4 linked regions of the Arabidopsis thaliana genome follow. The protein of the gene in region 3 interacts with the protein of the main gene of each other region in a pairwise test. Each region holds a gene or a part of one and is shown on either strand. Other genes may lie near its edges. The genes, in order: AT3G62920, APX6, RGS1 and SRS6.

The links.
Region 1: the proteins of RGS1 (region 3) and AT3G62920 interact in a two-hybrid assay, tested with the Arabidopsis thaliana proteins (one large-scale study listed by BioGRID).
Region 2: the proteins of RGS1 (region 3) and APX6 interact in a two-hybrid assay, tested with the Arabidopsis thaliana proteins (one large-scale study listed by BioGRID).
Region 4: the proteins of RGS1 (region 3) and SRS6 interact in a two-hybrid assay, tested with the Arabidopsis thaliana proteins (one large-scale study listed by BioGRID).

What each region holds. Positions count from the first base shown.
Region 1 is NC_003074.8:23,258,016-23,262,855, forward strand, and holds AT3G62920 (zinc metalloproteinase aureolysin), read left to right. Parts: upstream 1-2,581; 5' UTR 2,582-2,701; coding exon 2,702-2,751; intron 2,752-2,963; coding exon 2,964-3,156; 3' UTR 3,157-3,282; downstream 3,283-4,840. Other genes in the region: APG3 (Peptide chain release factor 1), read right to left, coding at 1-20, 118-175, 274-406, 484-556, 657-821, 946-1,011, 1,222-1,271, 1,418-1,469 and 5 more; AT3G62930 (Thioredoxin superfamily protein), read right to left, coding at 3,523-3,831.
Region 2 is NC_003075.7:15,600,084-15,606,748, forward strand, and holds APX6 (ascorbate peroxidase 6), read left to right. Parts: upstream 1-2,637; 5' UTR 2,638-2,693; coding exon 2,694-2,877; intron 2,878-2,965; coding exon 2,966-3,068; intron 3,069-3,176; coding exon 3,177-3,292; intron 3,293-3,813; coding exon 3,814-3,884; intron 3,885-4,042; coding exon 4,043-4,085; intron 4,086-4,171; coding exon 4,172-4,268; intron 4,269-4,361; coding exon 4,362-4,445; intron 4,446-4,524; coding exon 4,525-4,646; intron 4,647-4,786; coding exon 4,787-4,853; intron 4,854-5,048; coding exon 5,049-5,151; 3' UTR 5,152-5,317; downstream 5,318-6,665. Other genes in the region: SD2-5 (S-domain-2 5), read left to right, coding at 1-2,352. UniProt on the Arabidopsis thaliana protein: Plays a key role in hydrogen peroxide removal.
Region 3 is NC_003074.8:9,529,529-9,536,716, forward strand, and holds RGS1 (REGULATOR OF G-PROTEIN SIGNALING 1), read left to right. Parts: upstream 1-3,084; 5' UTR 3,085-3,354; coding exon 3,355-3,434; intron 3,435-3,870; coding exon 3,871-3,991; intron 3,992-4,086; coding exon 4,087-4,150; intron 4,151-4,231; coding exon 4,232-4,316; intron 4,317-4,420; coding exon 4,421-4,494; intron 4,495-4,588; coding exon 4,589-4,869; intron 4,870-4,954; coding exon 4,955-5,193; intron 5,194-5,270; coding exon 5,271-5,395; intron 5,396-5,484; coding exon 5,485-5,606; coding exon of another isoform or gene 5,607-5,615; exon of another isoform or gene 5,616-5,631; intron 5,632-5,693; coding exon 5,694-5,882; 3' UTR 5,883-6,101; downstream 6,102-7,188. Other genes in the region: AT3G26080 (plastid-lipid associated protein PAP / fibrillin family protein), read left to right, coding at 59-154, 466-540, 646-876; AT3G26085 (CAAX amino terminal protease family protein), read left to right, coding at 1,314-1,383, 1,474-1,856, 1,933-1,993, 2,089-2,213, 2,295-2,357, 2,442-2,566, 2,728-2,869.
Region 4 is NC_003074.8:20,145,658-20,151,350, reverse strand, and holds SRS6 (SHI-related sequence 6), read left to right. Parts: upstream 1-3,129; 5' UTR 3,130-3,499; coding exon 3,500-3,845; exon of another isoform or gene 3,846-3,921; coding exon 3,922-4,127; 3' UTR 4,128-4,316; coding exon of another isoform or gene 4,317-4,723; 3' UTR 4,724-4,725; downstream 4,726-5,693. Other genes in the region: AT3G54440 (glycoside hydrolase family 2 protein), read left to right, coding at 793-848, 925-1,224, 1,330-1,452, 1,865-2,536, 2,687-2,857; EP3 (homolog of carrot EP3-3 chitinase), read right to left, coding at 4,317-4,723, 5,002-5,416. UniProt on the Arabidopsis thaliana protein: Transcription activator that binds DNA on 5'-ACTCTAC-3' and promotes auxin homeostasis-regulating gene expression (e.g. YUC genes), as well as genes affecting stamen development, cell expansion and timing of flowering.

The sequences.
Region 1 (4,840 bases), about 14 Mb from region 3:
GAACGAGCTCCAGTCCCAACCTGTTTCCGCAAGAATCGACATAGAGCAGAATAAGATGAATATTTGATGATGACCTTGAGTTTAGAAAGACTATGGGGATAATAAAATGAAGTGGACCTGAGATTTCCTTTCATTCCTTATCTTCTCTTGTTGTTCCCTTACTTTTATTTCATACCTATATATAGACATATAATGTTTCAACAAAAAAAGACTAAGGTGGGACTTGATAGAGGAGAAGAAGAGTAGAGAGTTTGCTCCTTGAATGTTGCTTACAGTTTTGCTCGCAGAAGCTGGAAAGCACGCGCCTTATTCCTAATCTGGGTCCTTTCTTCTGTACAGAAAATGCGAATACCTGACGGTTTGTGGAATAGATCTATAGCCGTCTCCACCTTGTTCACATTTTGGCCTGCACCAAGACCTCTTTTCAGTATTATTAGCAAGTGAAATGTGAGAGAAACAGAAAGCGAATTTCTTTAGCATAACCTCCAGCGCCGCCAGATCTTGCAGATGTAAGTTCAATGTCCTTTGGGTCAATCACCACTTCCACTTCATCAGCCTAAAATGACAAAAAAAACAAAGCAGAGATGACAGTTTTGGACTGGTTACCAATTATCAATCAGAATATCGAAAAATGGAACATGCGAAAGCTAGTTTACCTCTGGCATGATGGCTACAGTTGCTGTAGAAGTGTGTACACGACCCTGTGTTTCTGTTTGAGGAACACGCTGGACTCGATGAACACCAGATTCATACTTGAGCTTGCTATAGACACGATTTCCTTTAATCTCCATCACACACGTCTTGTAACCTCCATGTTCAGCCTTATAAAAGTAGGAAGATTAAAAAGCTATACTGGTGAGAACATGTCTCTAAGTTGTTATGCTCTACTGCCATTTTCATTACACACTCCTTAAATGCCAAAACAAAACACAGAGAGCATCTCACCTCTGAGCATGAAACCATTGAAAACTTCCAAGAGCTGCGCTCGCTGTACCTCTGATACATCCGCACCTGCAAGCAAAAGAATAATGCAAAGCATACTGATTCATGGTAGGATCTGAAGTTTTTAATTATTGCACTTGCTTCTCTTAGCCATGAAATATAGGAACAATAAAATTTGAAAGTTTTTTAAGAAATAAGACTGAAACAAAACGGTGAACTATCGGAAGGCATTAAAATCAGATAGAGGATCAGAAGAAATCAAGGAAAGCATGTACCTACAAGGTCACCAGTCCAAATTGCAGCTTCATCGCCACCAGTTCCTGCTCTAACTGCGGAAGGAACTAAGATTTCAGACTCGTCCAGAGGTAGATAGGTAAAACAATGGCGGGAAGTCCGAGCAAAAGGCAGTTTTTCAAGAAAAAAGGCCAGTGTAGACAAATGATACTACTTGTCGACATATAGTTTAGTCAGTTACCTTCAAGCAAAATGTTTCTGGCATCAAGAGGATCGGAAGGAAGAAGTAACACCTGACACAAGCCAACACAATGTTACGAGTTGAGTATCAGAATCAAATTTTTAAAATGAGCAACATTCGATTTTCAGCTGCCGAATAAGTCAGCTATGGAACCAAGGCTCTAAACCTTAAGTTGTTTTTCAAGCTCCTCAATTTCTTTAGTGAGCGAGTTGATTTCACTTCCTATCATTTCAGCCATATCTTCATCATCTCCAGCCTCTTTCGCCAAAACTGAAGCAATAAACCAATCAGTAAATCATAACCAGCTTCCGAGGAACAGAATCAAAGCAAAGTAAAAGAAAGGAGGAGACTTGAAGGGACCTTTGCTTTCTAGTAACTGCTTCTCACAGTCCTTGAATCTTCTGAAGACTGTTACAACCTAAAATTGAATTCAATGTTAAGAAACCCCGAAAAAAGCTGCAAATTTTGAACACTAAAAGAATGTGCAAATACCTCGTCAAGCTCCGACATGGATTGTGCCAGTTTTTGGTATTCAGATTGATTCGAAACAACATCTGGGTCAGCTAGTTTCACCTACAAATCATTCAAAACTCTTAAGAATGAGATTAAGAAACAAACCTTAACCATTAATGGAATAAGTGTAGGAACAAACCGATAACTCCTTCCATGTCTTCTCAACAGACTCCATTTTCCTAATGAGGTAAGGTTCCTAAATGTTTCAACAGACAAAATCATCGAACAATTCTGAAACTTTTGAAAAAAAAATCCAACATTGGGAGAACTAGAATCACTTACGGCCATACAAACGAGTCGTCGAGTCCTGCGAGACCGAGAAGGCGGCCACGAGACTAGACAAACTCCAGACGGTGACTTTCTCGAACGTAAAGTGAATGGTGACGAGTGAAGATGAAGGAAGGCTCGAGCCGTTGGACTCGTCGTCATCGAGCTATTCATTGTCTAGACTCTAGAGAGAGAGGTGGAAGAAGACGAGTGGCGCGGGAGTTGCTGGATAAGGAAGCCTAGTTTAGATGATGAGACGTGTTTGGCTATTAGGACAAAACTATCCTCGCCAATTATAGAAGAAACCCTTTTATTTATTGGGCCTTTAGCCCATACTAATTTACATTCTCGGTTACACGGTGTAACTTACACCTGCTAGTAACTCTATGGGCCTATGGCCCAATATATGTGAAGTCAAAACTGATTCGTCGCGAAGTTGAGTTTTTGTTAAATAATAAATCAATTGAATCGCGGTACTCAATTTCTTCTCTTCCTCCGGCGACGATGTCGATTTACAGGATCGCTAGAGCTTTACCCTTCTCCGGGATCTTAAGGTTTCTCCATTGTTTTCTTCTCTTCATTGTATTACTGCGTTACTATTGAAGAATTGACTGATAAAAAGAATTCAATTTGTATCCAATCTAGAGCTTTTTAGGTTGGTTAATGCTTGCATCGTATTTCTCCGTATGACAAGAGATTACACAATAAAAGATTTGTTTTTTGTGTGTGTGTTTATGTTGAAATTCTAAGGTTTCATTTTGTACAGGCAGCTTGAGAAAGAAGCTGAAACTGTGATCAATGTTCTGCAACCTGGACCTTTGGGAATCATAGAGCACAAGTTCTCGGCTCAAGAGATTCGGGAAGCAAAAGCTACAGTTTCTAGAGCTGTTGATAGTTGGCGAAGACATTCTGAGGTCGAGCATGCAAATGGCCTTTTAAAAGATTACATTTACAAGTGAAGAAGTTAGTGAAAATCTCTACTTTTGTTTGTTTCTTCTTTTCTCATGGCTGATGATAAATAAAAGGCCTTTCATTTTGTTGAACAATCTTTAGGTATCAATGGAAAAGCAAATCTTTCTCTTTTATTGCTTATTAGTCTTCTTAGCTTATATTGGTTGATTTAACAAGTATGGTAACTGAGAATACAAAGTTCTTGATCTTAATTAGCTCTAGAGTTGTGTAAACTATAGTGTTGCACTTGTTGAAAACATATCCGTGCATGGTAGATACTCGAAACCCCGAAAATTAAAGAAGAAGCAAAACAACGATATGTATCATTCTCATCTTATTCTATCCTAGTTTGCATTTGACTCTCTTGTCTTCTGTTACACCCATATGGCTCCGGCTCTTCTTAGCATTGCGGCTAGCTGGTTCTTGACCTGAAGAGTCATTACTTGGTTAGCACCACCGATGAATTGTTGCCCTATGAACACAGCTGGTACACTGGGTTTACACCCCATCTGTACCAATGCCTTCTCGATCTCCTGACCGTTTGAGAATTGGTCTAGCTCGTAGACCGTCATCTTTGCCCCAAACCCTGAGATCAGTGTTTGAATTGAGTGGCTCATGCAGCAAGAGCTTTTGCTGAATATCACCACTGGTTTGTCTTCAACTAAACTTCTAACGCTTTCCATTTCTATGTATATAAATGTGATACAAATGTAGTGTGACTATGTGAGTGGGAACTCAAGGATCTTTATGTTTGTTTTTGCTTTGATGCTATACAAATTACAAAGTAGGCCTATTTATAGAGTTGGATACGTGGAGGATGGTAACGTTGCATAAATCAGATCTTTGTCACTACTTTACTTCCATACTAGTGATGTGCCCTTTGGCGTTCTCTAAAAACTGCATGAACATCAGAACCAAGTTGCATATACAGTTCATGTAAACTTTTCTTTTCTAATTACGGAAATATCCTTGTCATATGGTTTGTAATGATCCACGGATCCAGGGAGGTATGCAACAGTGTGATCATGTCTACTCTATGGTGCTTTTCTTTTTTTGGCAAAATCTTTTGCTTTTGATGCATCCACTGAGGTGGAGATTGGATTATGGTTTATCCAGTTAGATGCTTATCTTTTCAAGCAACAATAGATTCCCCACAAGTTTCAGGCTCTAAAGAAACGGAAAGCAAGAAAAACAAACAAAAAGAGGATCGTCTTTGAGATACTTTTCTGCTTGTGTGACCTGGAGTCTAGAGAGCAAGTAAGTGATCCAACACAGTTCTTACTTTAGCTTTTACACTTTGTCAAAACCATTTTCAAGTTTTTTTATCTAAATGTGAGAGTTGTTGGTCTTGACTCTTAAGAGTCTTTGTAGTTGTTGTTGCATTGAACACGAGAAAGAGAATCCATGTTCATTGCATTTTCAACTTTCCAAAAATACAAAATTTTAGCAGATTTAAACAGGAAAGCATGATTCTGACACCAGATTTGGAAATCTACAGAAATGAAGAATCTTTGGCAGATTCGTGATAAGGCCATGTGTCAATTGAATTAGCAAAATTTATGGGTGATAATAAGCATAGATTCGTCATCATTTTCTTCTTTTGGTGCTAAAATCTCAAGATTCGGGAGGAACAACTTGTGTTTGTTATATTCCCTTTCAGATCTCTAGAACTGTCTCTGCCAAATTGGCTCG
Region 2 (6,665 bases), on a different chromosome or scaffold from region 3:
AATTACATCAACAACGATGGTATCTTCCTCGAATCCAACAACTCAGCCTTCGGTTTCGGTTTCGTAACTACACAAGATTCCGTTACTCTGTTCACACTCAGTATCATCCACAAGAGCAGCACGAAACTGATCTGGTCCGCGAACAGAGCTTCCCCTGTTTCCAATTCCGACAAGTTTGTGTTCGATGACAACGGAAATGTGGTGATGGAAGGAACTGAGGTTTGGAGATTGGATAATTCAGGCAAAAACGCTTCAAGAATCGAGCTGCGTGACTCCGGGAATCTCGTTGTTGTTTCCGTTGACGGAACTTCGATCTGGGAGAGTTTTGATCATCCGACAGATACTCTGATCACGAATCAAGCTTTCAAAGAAGGCATGAAGCTCACTAGCAGTCCTTCTTCGAGCAACATGACTTATGCCCTTGAGATCAAATCAGGAGATATGGTTTTATCTGTTAACAGCTTAACCCCTCAAGTGTATTGGTCAATGGCAAATGCCAGAGAGAGGATCATCAACAAAGATGGCGGCGTAGTGACTTCATCGTCTCTCCTTGGGAATTCATGGCGGTTCTTTGATCAGAAACAGGTTTTGTTGTGGCAGTTTGTATTCTCAGACAATAAAGATGATAACACAACTTGGATCGCTGTTTTGGGAAACAACGGTGTGATCTCTTTTTCTAATCTTGGAAGCGGAGCATCTGCTGCCGATTCTTCGACTAAAATACCTAGCGATCTGTGCGGAACACCTGAGCCTTGCGGGCCTTACTATGTCTGCTCGGGTTCTAAAGTGTGTGGATGTGTGTCCGGGTTGTCTCGGGCTCGGTCTGATTGCAAAACCGGGATTACTTCTCCCTGTAAGAAAACCAAGGATAATGCAACATTGCCTTTGCAGCTAGTAAGTGCTGGAGACGGTGTAGACTATTTCGCTCTTGGGTATGCTCCTCCGTTCTCCAAGAAAACTGATCTTGATAGCTGTAAAGAGTTCTGCCACAACAATTGCTCGTGCCTTGGTCTTTTCTTCCAGAACAGTTCTGGTAATTGCTTCTTGTTTGATTATATTGGAAGCTTTAAAACCTCTGGCAATGGAGGCTCTGGGTTTGTGTCTTACATCAAGATCGCAAGTACTGGTTCTGGAGGTGGAGATAACGGAGAAGATGATGGGAAACATTTTCCTTATGTAGTGATTATTGTCGTGGTAACAGTTTTTATCATCGCTGTTTTGATCTTTGTGGCCTTCCGGATTCATAAGAGAAAGAAAATGATTTTGGAGGCTCCTCAAGAGAGTTCAGAAGAAGATAACTTCTTGGAGAACTTATCCGGGATGCCTATTCGGTTCGCTTACAAAGATCTTCAGTCAGCGACGAATAACTTCTCGGTGAAGTTAGGTCAAGGAGGGTTTGGATCGGTCTATGAAGGTACTTTACCAGATGGTTCTCGTCTAGCTGTGAAGAAACTTGAAGGAATCGGTCAAGGGAAGAAAGAATTCAGAGCCGAGGTTAGTATAATCGGAAGTATTCATCATCTGCACTTGGTGCGGCTAAGAGGATTCTGCGCAGAAGGGGCTCATAGGCTGCTCGCATACGAGTTCTTATCCAAAGGTTCGTTGGAGAGATGGATATTTAGGAAAAAGGATGGCGATGTTCTTCTAGATTGGGACACAAGATTTAACATAGCACTCGGAACAGCCAAAGGTTTAGCGTATCTACATGAAGATTGTGATGCAAGGATTGTTCACTGCGATATAAAACCCGAGAACATCCTATTAGACGATAACTTCAATGCCAAGGTATCCGATTTCGGACTGGCGAAGCTCATGACCCGCGAACAAAGCCATGTCTTCACAACAATGCGCGGGACAAGAGGCTACTTGGCTCCAGAATGGATCACAAACTATGCGATATCAGAGAAGAGTGATGTTTACAGCTACGGAATGGTGTTGCTAGAGTTAATAGGAGGAAGAAAGAACTATGATCCATCAGAAACTTCGGAGAAATGCCATTTTCCTTCTTTTGCTTTCAAGAAGATGGAAGAAGGGAAGCTTATGGATATTGTCGATGGGAAGATGAAGAATGTTGATGTGACTGACGAAAGGGTTCAAAGGGCTATGAAAACCGCACTTTGGTGTATACAAGAAGATATGCAAACGAGACCCTCGATGAGCAAAGTTGTTCAAATGCTTGAAGGTGTTTTTCCGGTGGTCCAGCCACCTAGTTCTTCCACTATGGGATCGAGACTTTACTCAAGCTTCTTTAAGTCCATCAGCGAGGACGGCGGTGCTACTACGTCATCTGGACCGTCCGATTGTAACAGTGAGAATTATCTCTCCGCCGTGAGACTCTCCGGTCCGAGATAGCAATCTTTTTAGCCAATTTTTAGTATCTTATATAATAGGTTTTTGGCTCACCATGTTTTGTTGTATATTGTTTTTGTGTTACATCTTAAAAGAATAGCCATCACTCAGTTTTGTAACGTTCCGAGATCAATTATTTCATAGATTACCCGTCGTTTTTCTTAACTGTCACAGAACTCCATGTCGTTTTACATTCGGAATGCGTGCCGTGGTCTTCCTTCTCTCTATCCTACGTTCCTATTGGCTATAATGTTTTGCTTACTGTACGCTTGTGGGTAGACAATGAAACTCCCGGTTCATAAATTTGAGCTAGGGTCTCGGAGACTCTCGTCCCACCGTTAAAGATGACGACGACGACTGCTTCTCTGGTTAAGACTTTTCTGTTTCGGTGCGACTCGTTTTCATCTTTCAAATTCAAATGCAAATTCGAATCTCCCGCGAAAACGCGATTGCTCTCTCCGGCGACCGAGAAACATGTTGTCAGATCGTCAAGAGCCTGGCGTATTCGTTGCTTATCCGATGATCCTGGTAAGACCGGATTCTGGTTTCGTTGGCCATTGCTATTTTACTGTTTTCGTTTTCTTCGACTTGTCCTGGCTAATTGCATAATTTGTAGGTTCGAGTCATGTTTTCGTTGCAAGTAGAAGGAAAATGGTAGTCTTGTTGTCGACGGTGCAGCTTCTGTCTCATATGCTTCCGCAAAACGGGAACGCAGCTGAGTGAGTTTGAACAAATCCTTAATTTTGTGTAATTGACTCTGAATTTGGTTTTTGTTCAAATTATAGTTTTCCAATTTTTTTGTACTAAATTGATAGTTGGATTTTCAGGATTTATCCGGTGATGCAAAACGAAATAAGGAAAGTGGTGACAAAGGGCAAGGCTGCTGGTGTGCTTCGTTTAGTGTTTCATGATGCTGGAACCTTTGAACTGGACGATCATTCTGGTAACTTTCCATGACTCTTATGTATTCTGTAATCATCAGAATTTTACTTTCAAGTATAGTATATCTGACTCGTTTGTCAAGTTGCTATTTTGTATAAGTTAGATTGTTTCCTTCATTGTAAACTCAACATAGGTGAACATGGATATAGATTTGAAAGTTCCTTTATTTGTTCACTGGTTGGTGATAGACAAGTTTGCAAATGTAAAAATTGTTTGTTAGATTTATGTTTAGAATGGAATCTGTGAATTTTTGGATGTTTTGGGTAGCTTGTGAATGTTTATTGGCTTAGTTTAATAGACTATCAAGTATTGTGAGAACTGGTTTGTTCAGTGGCTCTCTCAGGATGTTCTTATCATTTTACAATTTAATATACCTCAGTTTTGGCTTTGATGAACCAAGCTTGGTTGGTTTAGGTTCAGGTCTTTGCGATTTAGTATACTTCTGCTGGTATTTTCCTTTGTTCTCATTGAAAGATACTGTAACTATGTCTTAGTTCTTCTTGGTAATGAATTCAATTGCAGGTGGCATCAACGGATCTATTGCTTATGAACTTGAGAGACCTGAGAACATAGGTTTGAAGAAATCCTTAAAGGCACTAAATCCCTCTCTTTTATCTGTTGGCGTGAGCTAATAAGGATGTAATTTTCGCATCTATTTTAACTGCTCTTTTTTGTGTCTATTTGCACTTGTTTATCAGATTTGTCTTATTTTCAAATAAGTAATCTTCGTAGAAAATGGATTCTTTGTTAGGTTCTAGCGAAAGCAAAGGTTAAGGTTGACGAGATACAACCAGGTAAATTACTATTTGAACTGTGTGCACCAAAGAAACGTGTTCTGTTATGCGCCTTTGTGCTAATTTCACATTTTATGTGATCTCAGTGTCTTGGGCGGATATGATCTCTGTCGCTGGGTCTGAAGCAGTTTCAATATGTGGCGGCCCAACAATTCCAGTAGTTTTGGGAAGACTTGATTCAGCGTAAGCACAACATAAACGGTTTTTAATCCTATTGGATAGATCTCTGGTCACTGTTTCTATACTTTTAACAGGGTGATTGTTTCATGTTCACAGGCAACCTGATCCAGAAGGCAAGCTACCTCCAGAAACCCTGAGTGCCTCGGGATTGAAAGAATGCTTCAAAAGAAAAGGATTTTCGTGAGTCCTTAGCTGAGAATTGTTTCACAATGTATGTGTATGAGTAACTTAACATCACTGGGTTTGTGTGCCATTCCAGGACCCAGGAGCTTGTTGCCTTATCTGGGGCACATACGATTGGGAGTAAAGGCTTTGGAGATCCGACAGTTTTTGACAATGCATACTACAAAATCCTTCTTGAAAAACCATGGACGTCAACTTGTAAGTCTCATAAGTCATAACAAGGTTCTTAAGTTCTTTTACTCATAGAGTTTCAGTTTTCTACCATTCCTCCCTATGTTCTGAAGATTGATTGTAAGACTGAGATTGTATATTTACTTAGTTTTCTTACAATGCTGTAGCTAAGATGACGAGCATGGTCGGGCTTCCTTCGGATCATGCTTTAGTGCAGGATGATGAGTGCTTAAGGTTTCTCATCTACTCAAAGTTCTTACCTTATCATTTCATCACCTATTTTTCTCTCAAGTACCATTCAAAGTAGATGAACACTTAGAGAGTATAGGATCATTGGCAAGACTGTAAACTGTTGATCACTGTTCTTGCCATTTGAGTAATCTGGATAACTATTCAACTGATATAGATTCGTGGTTTGATGATGCACAGGTGGGTGAAACGGTATGCAGAAGACCAAGACAAGTTCTTCGAAGACTTCACAAATGCTTATATCAAACTAGTAAATTCTGGGGCCAAATGGAATATGTTATGATATCTAATCTAGTTTTATATTTTGTTAGCTCATAAGTGTTTCAAACATGCCCGAATAATTTGGGTAGTAATGCTTATTTGCTAATAAGTAAAAATTTCGCTGCTTACTAGTTTACTACTACGAAACTAAACATAAAAGATACTCAAACTTGACACCAACTTACTTCTATGCCACACCGAATAATAAATTCGGTGTTTGATTTGACTTTACAAAACTAAAACGATGACGATTCTAGTCTTCAGTGTTTGAATTTTATTCAGCAGTCGGACGTTTTGACTTTTAACGAGACGCTAAAACCGCTACGATTTATGTCGTTTAAGCAGTTATTTATAAGTTAGGTCGAGTAGATTTTACAATTTATGTTTTGTTCATGTAGTAATTAGACACGAAGAAAAGGAATAGGTCATGTACGAATCGTCGTAGGTAGATGTAGTTTTTATAGGAATATGCCGTTTCTATGTCAAAAGAGATATTAACATGTGTGTTTTGTCTAACAACCTATTTTTTTTGGCTACTAGTCATTATCTCTTATTATTTAAAATACATCGTGATCAAAGAGTAGTACAATCGCATTCAATTGGATAAGATAAAATTTGATATGTGAATGGTGAAGCGAATCTTCCAACAAGGATACACACCGACCAACATAAAAGCAAAATCTATAATAAAAACTGCTACCATACTTCACAATGTATAGAAATCCAAGTCTCAAGGTGTTGCGACTATTGCCATACCACGTTGAGATACTACTACTACTACATGTATGCGAAAGTTCCAAAAAATAAAATAATGGAAAAATGAACAATTAAGAATTGATACTCAAAAAGATTCATGGAATTAAAAAAAAAAAAATTGATCTGAAAAAATTCATTGATAACTAAAGTAGTATAATCATTTTACAATACTTATTTGTTATTAAAACTATAATTCTAATTAACAATTTACTAATTTAAATTATTTATGAAAACATTATTAGGATATATCAGTTTTATGAAAAAAGGTTTTCCAATTGTTAATCCCAATAATAAATCATTTAAAAAAATTTAGAAAGAAAATGCTGAGTTAGAAACAAAAGGAAAAGGAAGCACAAATGGAGTAAAAATGTATGAAAATAAAAAGATAAGATAATGAAATTTTGGGATTAGATAGAGATGATGGAGGGAGAAAGTTTTGAGAAGCAGCAAGAAAGGAAAGGTGTCACTGTTGTACTTGGTACCTCTATCTTACCCTAATCGCTGGACCAACTTGTCTCTTAATAAAAGTGGTTTTTGTGTCTAATCTGACTTTGCTTACTCTCTAATCACTCTATCTCTCTCAGTGCTAATCAAGATAATCATACCTTTTTTAGCTGTTACCACTTTTCTAGTAAAGGAAATTGTAGTTACTTCAATTATATAAATTTCAATAGAAAACCCATCAAACTTAACTAGTTGGGAACATGCATGGTAGGATACTTATTTTGTCTAATGCTTTGTATTTTACTTATATTTTACGGTTTATTACATATGGATACA
Region 3 (7,188 bases):
TTGTTGTTTGTTTTTGGCTTGTTGTGTAATTTTCTCTGTCTCCTTGAGAATGTAACAGAAACCAAGGTTCTTAAGATCGTTAACTAACTACCAATGTATCAATATGGATACACTAAAGGTGCAAAGAATGGAGACTTGGCCTTTCTATAACTCGGTAATATTTCAAACCGCGACTGAATTCTCTTTTTGTACCATTTTCACAAGTAGGTTTTGCGATTTTGCGTTGTGTTAGACCATATACAAAGCTCTTTTCTCTGTGATGTTGAAACCTATTGATGTGATCCATTGCTATATAATATTCAAAATGTACGAAAGTTTGAGACTTTGTCACATATATGTATGATCATGTTCCATTGTGACTCACTAGGCAAGAACAAAGGAGGACTAATACCAAAGTTTTTATCATCAATATTCTTTCAGCAGAGTTTGTAAAATGAGACTTAGCAAACTACAATGTTTTCATAGGTAACTGGAGACTTGACACCCCTCAACTCGAAGACGGTTGCTGTGAAACTTCAAGTGTTTAAAATTCTCGGCTTTGTAAGTATTACCAAAACTCTTGCTGTTATAAGGGAAACTGGTAGTACTGACTCATACATACACCATATGCTTCTTTTACTGATCATTAGTGTTTGCTGTGTGCAGATTCCGGTAAAAGCACCTGATGGTACTGCACGCGGTGAACTAGAGATTACCTATGTGGACGAGGAACTACGGTCAGTAGTGAATGATAGTTTTTCATTTCTCTATGGAACTGACAACCAAAAACATTTGAATCTTGAAACAATGTTCATTTTTTACAGGATATCAAGGGGCAAAGGCAACTTGTTGTTTATATTGAAGATGTTTGATCCCACTTATCGAATCCCTCTCTGATCTATCGAAAAAAATAGTTTCGAGCTATCATACATACTTAAAATCGCTTGTTCTGTCTCTCTATTCATCATGTATGTAAAAATCTAATAAGAGAGAATAAAAAGAGACTAGCTTTTGTCAATGATTCAACTTGTTTTGATCGACATTGCACCACATTAGATTAAAAAAGCTCTAAACTTTGAATTCGGTACAGAAAATCAGAAAAGGACTCATGTCCTCTTCTTTTGAAATATGTTACAATAAAAATTTGGTTTCATTTCTTCTTCTTTCTTGGTGCGTTTTCTCTGATAAACGACGCCGTATGAAGCTGGCGAGACACAGACCTCTCATTTCGACGCTTTCTTCTTCGTGAAACTCTTCATTTGTTTTATATTGGAAACAGAGTCTCTCTTATGAATCAAAGCGACAAACTTTGAGAAGGCAGGCGAAAATCTCGGATGGGTTCCATCGCTCTGCAATCTTGGAGCAGAGGAGCTTCAACTTCTCTTCATCTCCTTTTTCGTCCAGGTAGGTAAGTGCGATTCCTAACTTGATATGATCATATATATGAGAATTCGACAAAGATTTTTGGTTGAAATTTGCTTACTTGATGATCAGTTGGCTCGAACCCTAAGCTATATGATGCTCGAAGAGTACAAGTAAGATTCTTTAATGTTGCCGCTTCTTGGTCCGAACAGATGATCTCTTATACTATAGTCTGTTTATTTTGTCTTTTGGGTTTTAAGTTTGATGTAAGAGCCTCTTCAAGTCGTAAATCACTTAAGAAACTCAAAAGAGAGTCACAACAAGGTAAAGACATAGGCTTAAGAAATGTTACAGATGAAGAAGTTTCTTCTCCAAGATTTGAGGAAGCTCAAGTTGATTCTTCAACTTCAAAGGACTCCATTGATGTTTTTGTTGCTGCTCCTCGAGACAAAGTGCTTCAGGCTTGCACTGTAACTTCCGGTTTGATGGCTGCACTAGGTCTGATCATCAGAAAGGTGAATCCCAAATCTGAAAGTTTATGATTTTGTGATTCTAGCATTTGTATCTTGCTGATTTGGTTACCGCTTGCAGGCGTCTCATGTTGCTTCGACTGAAGGATTACTGGTTCCAGACTGCTCTATAGATGTACCATGTAACATCTCGGAAAACGATTATGTTGTGTACTAAGAATCCTTTGAGAGATTCAGTAACCAAAACATGTTTTGTATTGCATGATCTTTCTTGCAGTTGGGTTTGAAACTTGGCATCTCGGTTTAATTGCTGGAATCGTTGTGTTTATATCGTCAAGTAGGTTCTTGCTACTTAAATCTTGGCCAGATTTTGCTGATTCTAGTGAAGCAGCAAACCGACAGGTCAAAACATTACACATTATATACATTTATACGATTCTTTAAACTCCGCTTATTGTCTCCTTTGGTATTCACTACTTGCAGATTCTCACTTCCCTCGAACCTCTAGATTACCTTGTTGTTGCAATGTTACCGGGAATAAGTGAGGTAACAATAAACAATCACAATAAAACACAGAAAGGCTCTCCTTTAGAAAATGTCGTTCATTGGTTTGATTTGGTGTATTCACAGGAGCTGCTGTTTAGAGGTGCATTAATGCCTTTGTTCGGAACTAATTGGAATGGTATTGTAGCGGTTGGCCTCATTTTCGGTTTACTTCATCTCGGGAGCGGAAGAAAGTATTCTTTTGCAGTTTGGTAAGCCGTTTTTACTGAACATTTTGGTACCTCAATGCTGATGAGAATTGCGTAGACCGAATCTTGATATTAGATGATTGCCTTTAACATGTTCTTGCATCTCTCTATCACATTTCCGAGGTTTTCCTATTGAATTCTTTGCGGTTTCTTGAAATTTTCAGGGCTTCGATTGTCGGTATAGTCTACGGTTATGCAGCTGTTTTGTCGTCGAGTCTTATCGTTCCAATGGCCTCGCACGCACTCAACAATTTGGTGGGAGGTCTGTTGTGGCGATATAGTTCCAAGATCAAGTCATTGGAGTGAAATAAACAAAATTTACAACAGGGTTGAATTAAAAAAGTATACAATTTTAATGGGTGGGTTTGTGAAATCTCTCAATAGTATAGGGTGGTTATGTCAAAAATCTATAATAGAGGGTGGTTATTGTAATTTTAATGTACCAACTTGTCACAAAGGACAAGTATGAAAAATCTATAATTATAGAAGTGAAAAGTGAAAAACCAATCAGAATTGTTACCGGAAAAAGGAAGTGTCTTCTGGTCAAAAAAGTCAGAGAAGAAGAGAGAAACGTGAACAATGAAGAGACAGAGACGTCTCTTCTCTTATGCGAAAGTGTGAATCTTTTAAAGCTTTTTGTTTCAACATCGATAAATGAAGTTTCTTTTATTGAATTTATAGAAATTTGCACACTTTACCTTGACATTAAAGCAACAAGCTTTGAAACCAAATAAAATCTCAAAAACCCAGAAAGCGAGTGGAGAAGAGAGAGCTGATATGCTACAATAGAAATGGCGAGTGGATGTGCTCTACATGGTGGTTGTCCCAGCGATTACGTCGCCGTCGCAATTTCAGTCATCTGCTTCTTCGTGTATGTGTTCGAGCTTAAAAATCCCATTTTTGGGTTTTAGTTTTGAAGATCTAGATTTTTCATTTACTGGGTTTGCTTGTTGACTCTTGACTTGAGTCAAAATCTCGAATTTTGTGTCTTTAATCGTTTAAAATTTTCATACGATGTCTCTCTTTGCTATTTTAACTCTTTGTATTGTAAGTGTTTGATGTTATGTATCAAAAGATCTGTCTTTTGTTTCGTTTCAGTTTCTTTTAGCTGGGAATTAGATGGTTTCAGTATCTTGATAGCAAGATTCATATATTATGTCGGAATCGATTATTGAACTTAGATTTGAAGTTCAAAAGCTTGATTTAATGGACTAATTGAGTGGATTTGTATCATGAGTTAACTTCCAAGTAGTTCAATTTCTCTATTAAGTTGATTCTATCTGATGGATTTCACTTTGTTTATTTAGGCTGTTATCGCGCTCAGTGTTACCGTGTTTGATTCATAAGGCTCCTCGTACTAACAGTAGCAGTTTCTGGATCCCTGTTATTCAAGTTATCTCCAGCTTCAACCTTCTCTTCTCAATTATGGTTAGACTACTTGACTTGATGATTCCGTTGCTCTTAAGAATCACTTCATTTGTTGAGTTTCTACACTAATAGACTGTTTTATATTTAATTTTCAGATGTCAGTTAATTTGCTTCGATTCAGGACGAAACATTGGTGGCGATATTGCTATCTTTGGGCAGGTTTGTTTGGAAACCATGATTCCTCATCTTCGTAAACAAATTGACAGTTATATCAATAAGTCTTGTATAATTTGGTTTCAGTGTGGATTGAAGGACCACTTGGGTTTGGTTTGTTGATGAGCTGCCGTATAACTCAGGCATTTCAACTATACTTCATATTTGTCAAGTGAGGTTCAATGTTGATCAAAATGTTTTTGGATTCCAATTCTATCTCTATTGGTGTAATTGAGTTTAATGCTGTTTGGTTGTTACATATTCTTTGCAATGTAGGAAACGTCTACCTCCGGTAAAATCATACATTTTCCTCCCCCTTGTTTTGTTGCCATGGATCTTCGGAGCTGCAAGTAAGAATTGTTCTGAACGTTATATGTACTGAGCAGTTCTTGGTTTCTCTTGTTTTGGATAATAATAACTCAAAGCTTTTGATTTTGCATTTAGTTATCCACGCAACAAAGCCTCTCAACGATAAATGCCACATGGGTCTTCAATGGACTTTCCCAGTTGCAGGCCTTCATGCTCTCTATGTCCTTGCTTTAATTGCATTCACAAGAGCAGTTCGACATGTAGAGTTTCGTTTTGACGAGCTTAGAGATCTCTGGAAAGGAATTCTCGTCTCAGCCACTTCAATCGTTATATGGGTAACAGCGTTTGTGTTGAATGAGATTCATGAAGAAATCTCTTGGCTTCAGGTTGCTTCAAGATTTGTGCTTTTAGTCACGGTATGAAAGCTAATACCAGGACTGTTCTTTATATTTGCAGTTGGAATACCTTTTTAACAGACTTCTGAGTTGATTCTTCTTTCAGGGTGGGATTCTCGTCGTTGTCTTCTTTTCCATCTCGAGTAACCAACCTCTTCTTTCACAAATCAGCTTGAAGAAAAGACAAAACTTTGAGTTTCAAAGAATGGGTCAAGCTCTAGGCATTCCCGATAGCGGATTATTATTTCGGAAGGAGGAGTTTCGACCTGTTGACCCAAACGAGCCACTCGATAAGCTTCTTCTCAATAAAAGATTTCGCCATTCGTTTATGGAATTTGCTGATAGGTACTCCATTCAATACCTGACCTCATATATATCCCGGTTTCACCATTTATTTAAACTAATTCGTTATATGCTGGTAGCTGCTACGCTGGAGAAACATTGCATTTTTTTGAAGAGGTGTATGAACATGGTAAAATCCCGGAAGATGATTCGATAAGAAGAATCTACATGGCTCGACATATCATGGAGAAGTTCATCGTCGCAGGTTAATTACATATCCATCTTCCCTCTTCTTTATAGACCTGTCTCGTGTGTTCTCTCTATAAATCTAACTAGTAATTCCTTAAAACACAGGAGCGGAAATGGAATTGAACTTATCTCATAAAACCCGACAAGAGATCTTAACCACTCAAGATCTAACTCACACTGATCTCTTCAAGAACGCATTAAACGAAGTCATGCAATTGATCAAGATGGTAAAATAACATCTCTCTTTCACTCTCTTACGCACGCCTTCAAGCTATTCTCTTGATTCTCATTTTTTTGTGCTCATGAATTTGAAGAACTTGGTAAGAGATTACTGGTCATCCATCTACTTCATCAAGTTCAAAGAAGAAGAAAGCTGCCACGAGGCAATGCATAAGGAAGGATACAGTTTTTCATCTCCAAGACTGAGTTCAGTTCAAGGCTCTGATGATCCTTTCTATCAAGAACATATGTCAAAGAGTTCCAGATGCAGTAGTCCCGGTTAAGGAGTCTAAAACTGGTACTAGACCAGAACCCAAACCAATGTTCATAGCAATCCAATCCATGTAATCTTCCTTCACATTTCTTGTACATGTCATTTTCTCTCTTGTTATACCTAACTGTAAGAGAAAATGTCCGGTTCGGATTTTGGTTTAGTTTTAAATGTGTATACCGGACAAAAACTATGGAACCATACTAATTAATATCTCGAAGAATTTATACGTATATGCCATCTGTTTCACCAAGAATAAAAAAGCACCTGCAGATTGATCTTCATGTCCTTGCAGAGTGATGATGTTGCATCACATGTTTCATGATGTGATGACATATCCATTGGCCTCGCTAAGGCTTTTCATCAACATTTTGACATAATGTTTTTTTCCACCACTATATTTTGACGTGTACAACATCTATAACGAGAAGGTGGGATGGTCATCAAATATTTCAATTTTAGAATATAATTTGTTACTGAAAAGAGAAAGTTGAAGAATTTTTTAGGTTTATCATATGATTAAATGATATTAAAAGTTTTAAATATCTATAAAATATAAAATTAAATATTGTTGAGCAGCAATAAAATGTCTTTAGGTAAGTTTTTAAAAAAAAAAATCATCTGTTACCATTTAAGCTCTAAATTATTCAGTAAAATTCTGCAAGAAATGTCAATTAAACCCTAAATTCAGTAACTTAGCCAGATTTATTCTGCTGTTAACATATAAAAATTAAATGTTCAAAAAATAAAACTTATATGTGTAGGTAAGAAGTCTTGTCAGCGAATGAAAAAAAAGTTTAAATTAATGTTTCATTATTATGGTGAATCTTTCCCAAATATTAGTGGTTCTCATCTCACCATAAATAAATATTATTTCCCAAAGAAGTTTTTTTTATTTTATTTTTGGCTGTCTACCATATGGTTTTGGTATATATATGGGTAGCAATTATTGGGTGTTGTCGATGTTCTCTCCAAGATAGTTTATAAAACTAAAAGGAATCTTTATCAGTTTATCTTTCACCAAATTAGTTAATTTCAATATATTTTTTTGGTTAAATTGTTTAGCTTATGGGGAATTCTCTAAATAGTAATTACATCTATTTTCTGTTCCAAGACTATTATGAATAAATTTTCGAAAATGCTACAAATTAGTTGTGATAATGTTATTTCCTTTTCATTCTTATATCTCAATCTTAATATCTTCATTCTATCTTTGTTTAAAACTCAAACTAAAATGAAAACTCTATAACATCTAGACATGAAAACTCTCACTAAAATGAATTTAACAAAATTTACTTCTATTTTCGGTGAAAATAATA
Region 4 (5,693 bases), about 11 Mb from region 3:
GCCAACGTTTCACAGGAACTGGAGGTTGGAGATTCAATAAGACTGCTTCTACCTTTGTATCTAAGTTGGGAATCGCTGTTGCTTGACCCTTTATGGCACAGTGGTTGTTGTTTATATGGACCACGACAGAATCTGATGATGTTTCTTGAGATACTTCAGATACCGTGCCCCCTTGGATTGCAGCAACCATTGTTGTTAAACTCATAATTGCATCGAAAACATTCTTCAAACCAGCTTGCATACTATCCAACTTTTCACACAGAATTTTTTTATTCTTCTCTAACGCTTCCAAACTTCTCTCTGTTCGAGTAGTAGTCATACCTTTTGGCATTTGTCCGTTGTTAGGTCGGACCAACTGGTAGAGTTTAAGAATCACGAAAGAAAATAAAAAACTCTTCTTTATTGAAATAGAAACAAATTAGAACTATATCACCAAAATCTGTTAGAAACGTTTCTCTTGGCAAAGCCGATAAGAAAGCTTAAAAAGCTTTTCTCTCGATTGAAAAGAGAACCGATAACCTCCAACGCTCTCTCTCTACCCTGGATGAGAATCACAGACGAAATCTCATCCTTACTTATGCCAGTACCTAATAAAAAGTATTCTAGTTAAAAAAAAAAACTAGTCAAGAAATGGAAATTCTAAATATTTTCCTAAATCAAGAAATTGAAGTTAAGGAACATAAATCTAAAAAGTATCACATATGTTTCCCTTTTTCTGACTACTTGACCATGATACATGTTCAAATGGCACTAATTTTCTTCTGTTTGCACCATGTCTTTGCGTTGTTTAAGAGGTTAAGCATTGTTACCAACCAATCAAGGTTTCATTGACGGATGGCATGATAAAGGTACAATTTAATATACATCAACTCAGTTGGCTTTGGTTTTAATACCATCTATGTAGCTCAAACTTTATCTTTGCAGGTTGCAAACACTTACTTTTTCAACACAACAGAAGAATTGGAGTTTAGCTGGACAATTCATGGGGATGGTCTTGAACTTGGATCTGGGACTCTCTCTATTCCTGTGATAAAGCCACAAAATAGTTTTGAGATGGAGTGGAAGTCAGGTCCATGGTTTTCTTTCTGGAATGACTCAAATGCTGGAGAATTGTTTCTGACAATAAATGCCAAGCTTTTAAATCTTACTCGTTCGCTTGAAGCCGGTCATCTTTTGTCTTCAACGCAGATTCCTTTACCAGCAAAGGGACAAATAATACCGCAGGTATTTCCCACATCCTCTACAAGTCATATTTCTTTTGGAAAGATCTCTCGTCGTTCTGCTAGAAAATATGAATTCCTGACAATTGTAAGTAACCTCCTACTCTAGGCGATAAAAAAGACAGACACTAGTATCACTTGTGAAACTGTTGGAGATTTCATTAAGATCAGCCAGAAAGATTCATGGGAGCTAATGGTAAATGTCCGAAAAGGGACTATTGAAGGTTGGAAGGTAAGTTCTTTTCTGTTTTATTTCTTGATTGCGAAGCTCTAAAACAATTTCGTAATGCATAAAAATTATAGGGAAGAAGTCTTACATATTGTAGGCATATAGGTTAGTTACTCAAGTAAACGATCCTGTTGGGATCTAAAGTTTGATATAACCGGTTGTAACCACTTTCCTGATTTATATTAACGCATTGGGGGTATACTGAGTACATAGTTGTTGCAAAGAAAATACTACCATAGGAAAAAGGTATATAACTAGCTAGGCAATGAAAGAGAAAAGTGCAAAACATAAAACTAAAAAATAGATTCGATATTGAAGATCTTTTCTTGGTTGATGTTTTAGTGAAAGTAATGCGTACACTTTTTCATCTTGAGTGAGAATGTTTCTGTTCTTAAGATCATTTCAAAAATGACAGATTCAAGGAGTTCTCCTTATGAACGAAGCTATACTGCCATGCTTTTGGCGAGCACCTACAGACAATGATAAAGGTGGAGGTGACTCTAGTTATTTTTCGAGGTGGAAAGCGGCACAGTTAGATAATGTGGAGTTCCTTGTTGAAAGCTGTTCAGTAAAGAGCATCACTGATAAATCCGTAGAGATAGAGTTCATTTACCTTGGTTCTTCAGCTTCTGGCTCTTCAAAGTCAGATGCCTTATTCAAAGTCAATGTGACATATCTGATCTATGGTTCCGGAGATATCATCACCAATTGGTTTGTAGAACCAAACTCTGATCTTCCACCGCTACCACGTGTAGGTATAGAATTCCACATTGAAAAAACACTGGACCGTGTAGAATGGTATGGCAAAGGTCCATTTGAGTGTTACCCAGACCGAAAAGCAGCAGCCCATGTGGCGATATATGAACACAATGTTGGAGACATGCATGTCCCTTATATTGTTCCAGGAGAAAATGGAGGTAGAACAGATGTTAGGTGGGTAACATTCCGAAACAAAGATGGTGTAGGAATATATGCTTCAACATATGGTAGCTCTTCTCTAATGCAAATGAATGCTAGTTATTATACAACCGGTGAGCTTCACCGTGCAACGCATGAAGAGGATCTTATCAAAGGACAAAACATCGAGGTAGTAATCTATTGTCTTTTCCTCAATCTCTTGATCCTCTTGACCAGATATATTTGAATTCAAGAATGGAAACGACTTATCAAACACCTGAGCATCAGTTGTCATTTTGTTAGTTAAGTCTTTGTCATTTGAATGGTGATCATTGTGCAGGTGCATCTGGACCACAAACACATGGGTCTTGGGGGAGATGATAGCTGGACTCCATGTGTTCACGATAAGTTTCTGATTCCGCCTGCACAGTATTCGTTTTCTCTCAGGCTATGCCCAATTACTGCATCCACCTCGGGTTTGAACATCTACAAGGATCAACTCCCCTGCTAGAAATCTGTTCTTGCATATAAGTTGAATGCTATAAACAACTAGACTTAGTGAGTCTTGCAATGTTTCTAAGTTTGATTTCTCAAATGAAAAAAAAAAAACCTAATAAACTAAAACATTCGATTCAAAATCTTCTTGTGATATAGCCTCTGTTCTAGTGTAGTTGTTACAAGCAATCCATACCAAATAAACCTCTTAAGAAATCTATCCCATCAAAGCTTAAGCACATAGAGAGGAGACCCACAAAGTGGGATATAAAGCCGTTTTAGACGGGTGCTTTCCCAATGAAGTGGACCACTCCACTTGGAAAGATAATTATTTCATTTTCTGCAGAACATTTTTAACCATTACATGTGACCACAAAACTCTGTCAAAACCCCAAATATTAAAAAACTTATGTTTATTGCTCTCTCTCTCTGTTTCTCACTACTCTTACTAGACTCCTCCATAGCTAAGCTCCACCTACTAGATTAGCCTCCACGCGCTTTTATTATTACTACTGCCACAGTGGCAAATCCACCTTCTTCCCTCTCATGGCCACCACAACCATCATCATCTTCAACACCTTTCGCCGCCGTCTCAATCCCACCTGATCACTCTTCCTCCTCCGTCGCCGCCGTTGGAATCAGTACTACTCCAGACTACATGTTAGGTCTTCGAAACATCATTCTCTTATCTCCACCACCGACGCAGATAACACGGCCATCTCTTCCTCCGGTAAACTTCGCGGCGGTGGAAGACAACAACACAGTTGGAGAGAAAGTATGCAGAGACTGTGGAAACAGAGCAAAGAAAGAGTGTTTGTTCGAAAGATGTAGAACTTGTTGTAAAAGCAGAGGATACAACTGTGTCACTCACGTGAAGAGCACGTGGATTCCTTCTTCTGCAACTCGTTCTTCATCTTCTCCTTCTGAGAGGAAGAAGAAGCTCAAAATCGATAAACAGAGTTCCCCTAATGTCTCGCTACTTCCGACAACCACTTCTCGTCAAGGTAATGAATCTTGGAACTAGAATTGAACAAAACCTTTTTTAATCTGAATTTTGCGTTTTTGTGTGGAAAATTGCAGAGAGAGGCTTCAGAGAGGGGTTACCGGGGAAAATTGAAGCTCCGGCGGTTTTTAAACGGACGAGAGTAACAGCGATAAGCAACAACGAGCAAGCAGAGATTGGTTATCAAGCAACAGTAACTATAAGTGGTCATATCTTCAAAGGCTTTCTTCATTACTATGGTGTTGATCATAACAAAGCTTTTCCATGTCTTTCTCAAAAATGATGGAAACTACTTCATAGGATTCTGTGTATAAAGTTTCTCTGTTTTCATCTCAAAGTTTTTGTCTTTTTTTAACTAAGTGGATTTTATATATATTCGACATTAAGGGACAAAACATTAATGGGCCATTCCATTCTTAAAGCTTGTCTATTTTTACTTTTATATATGTATACAGAGAAATAGATGTTTTTGTTAGCAAGTGAGGTTGTTTCCAGGATCAACGCCAAGTTGACGACAATAATCCGTGTAGTAACGAACTCTAGCTTGAACGGTGGCTGTGTTGGCCCCGTCACACTCCAAAGCACCGTTAATGGCACGGATTGTTGCACCAAAACCTTGAGAGATAACAGGCTGAACCCTATTGGTCCAGTACCACAAGGCGGTTTTGAAGGATATGACTGGATCCGTGGCTACTGTTTCCGGTGCATTCAGGCCGTCGAAACCAATTGCTGTCCCGGCTGGCCCGTAGTTGAAATTCCAAGAGAGTTGGATCGGTCCGCGGCCGTAGTAGCCTTTGTTAGGATTGCATGGATATTGTGTTGCATTCTCGTCGCAGTAATCCTTTGAGGCTCCGTCTATCTCTTCTATGTAGCAGAAATCTAAAACAAAAACCGAAATTATTAGATCGAATGCTGCAACATATTCAAAGTATTTCTAGTCAAGTTTCTATGATTTTGAAAAGTGATTATGCTATATGCGTTTGATGAAAAGATATTACTAATCTAGTAAAACATGTTATTTAGTCTAATGATTTTTAGAAAACAAAAACAAGTTCTAACGTTTTCATATTTTGTTTTTGTTTGGTATTTAATAGAGAACATGCATGTATGCATCATAAGAAAAGAGTAAAGTGAAACATGTTACTATATATACTTACGTCCTGTTTCATGTGTGACATGAGCAAAGAACGCTGCAATCTCACGCCTAGAGTCGTCGGTCGATCCAACTCTACCGAAACGAGAATATGAGTCTAAGGCCTCAAGAAAAGCTCCCCGACTGTAAAATCTATTGCCGGCGCAACTAGACGCGGCTTGACTGATGATTCCATTGAAGAATTCTTGCGTTACAATCTCAGCCACAGAGACACCATTTGCAGGGGGAGGAGCAAAACAAGGTCCTTGTTGGCAACCTACACCACAATAGTCTGAAGTGTTACCGCAAAAGCCAAACTGACTACAACATAGCTCTGACGAACAACCGCAATTTTGAGCCTTTGTTGTGTTAGAGAAAGCTTGTAGAACTAATAGAATGGTTACTAAAGAGATGGATTTAGAAATGGTGGGAGTCAACATTTTGATGTTGTTGAGGAATATGGAGAAAACAAGAACTAGTCTTGAAATGAAGACAATTGTGTTTTGCCTAAATATAGTGCGTGAGACGGCATGCAAGAAAAGTCGCAATGTAAATGTGTGGACGCGATCAAGCCACTACTATTGTATATTCTTCATAAAGTTACGAGAAAAGTCGTCTCTTAGACGATCGAGATGTTTGCGGACTTTTAATTGTACAGTTGACTTTTTATTTGATGACTATACAAAAGCTTATTCAGTTCACATTTATTAAAGGAAT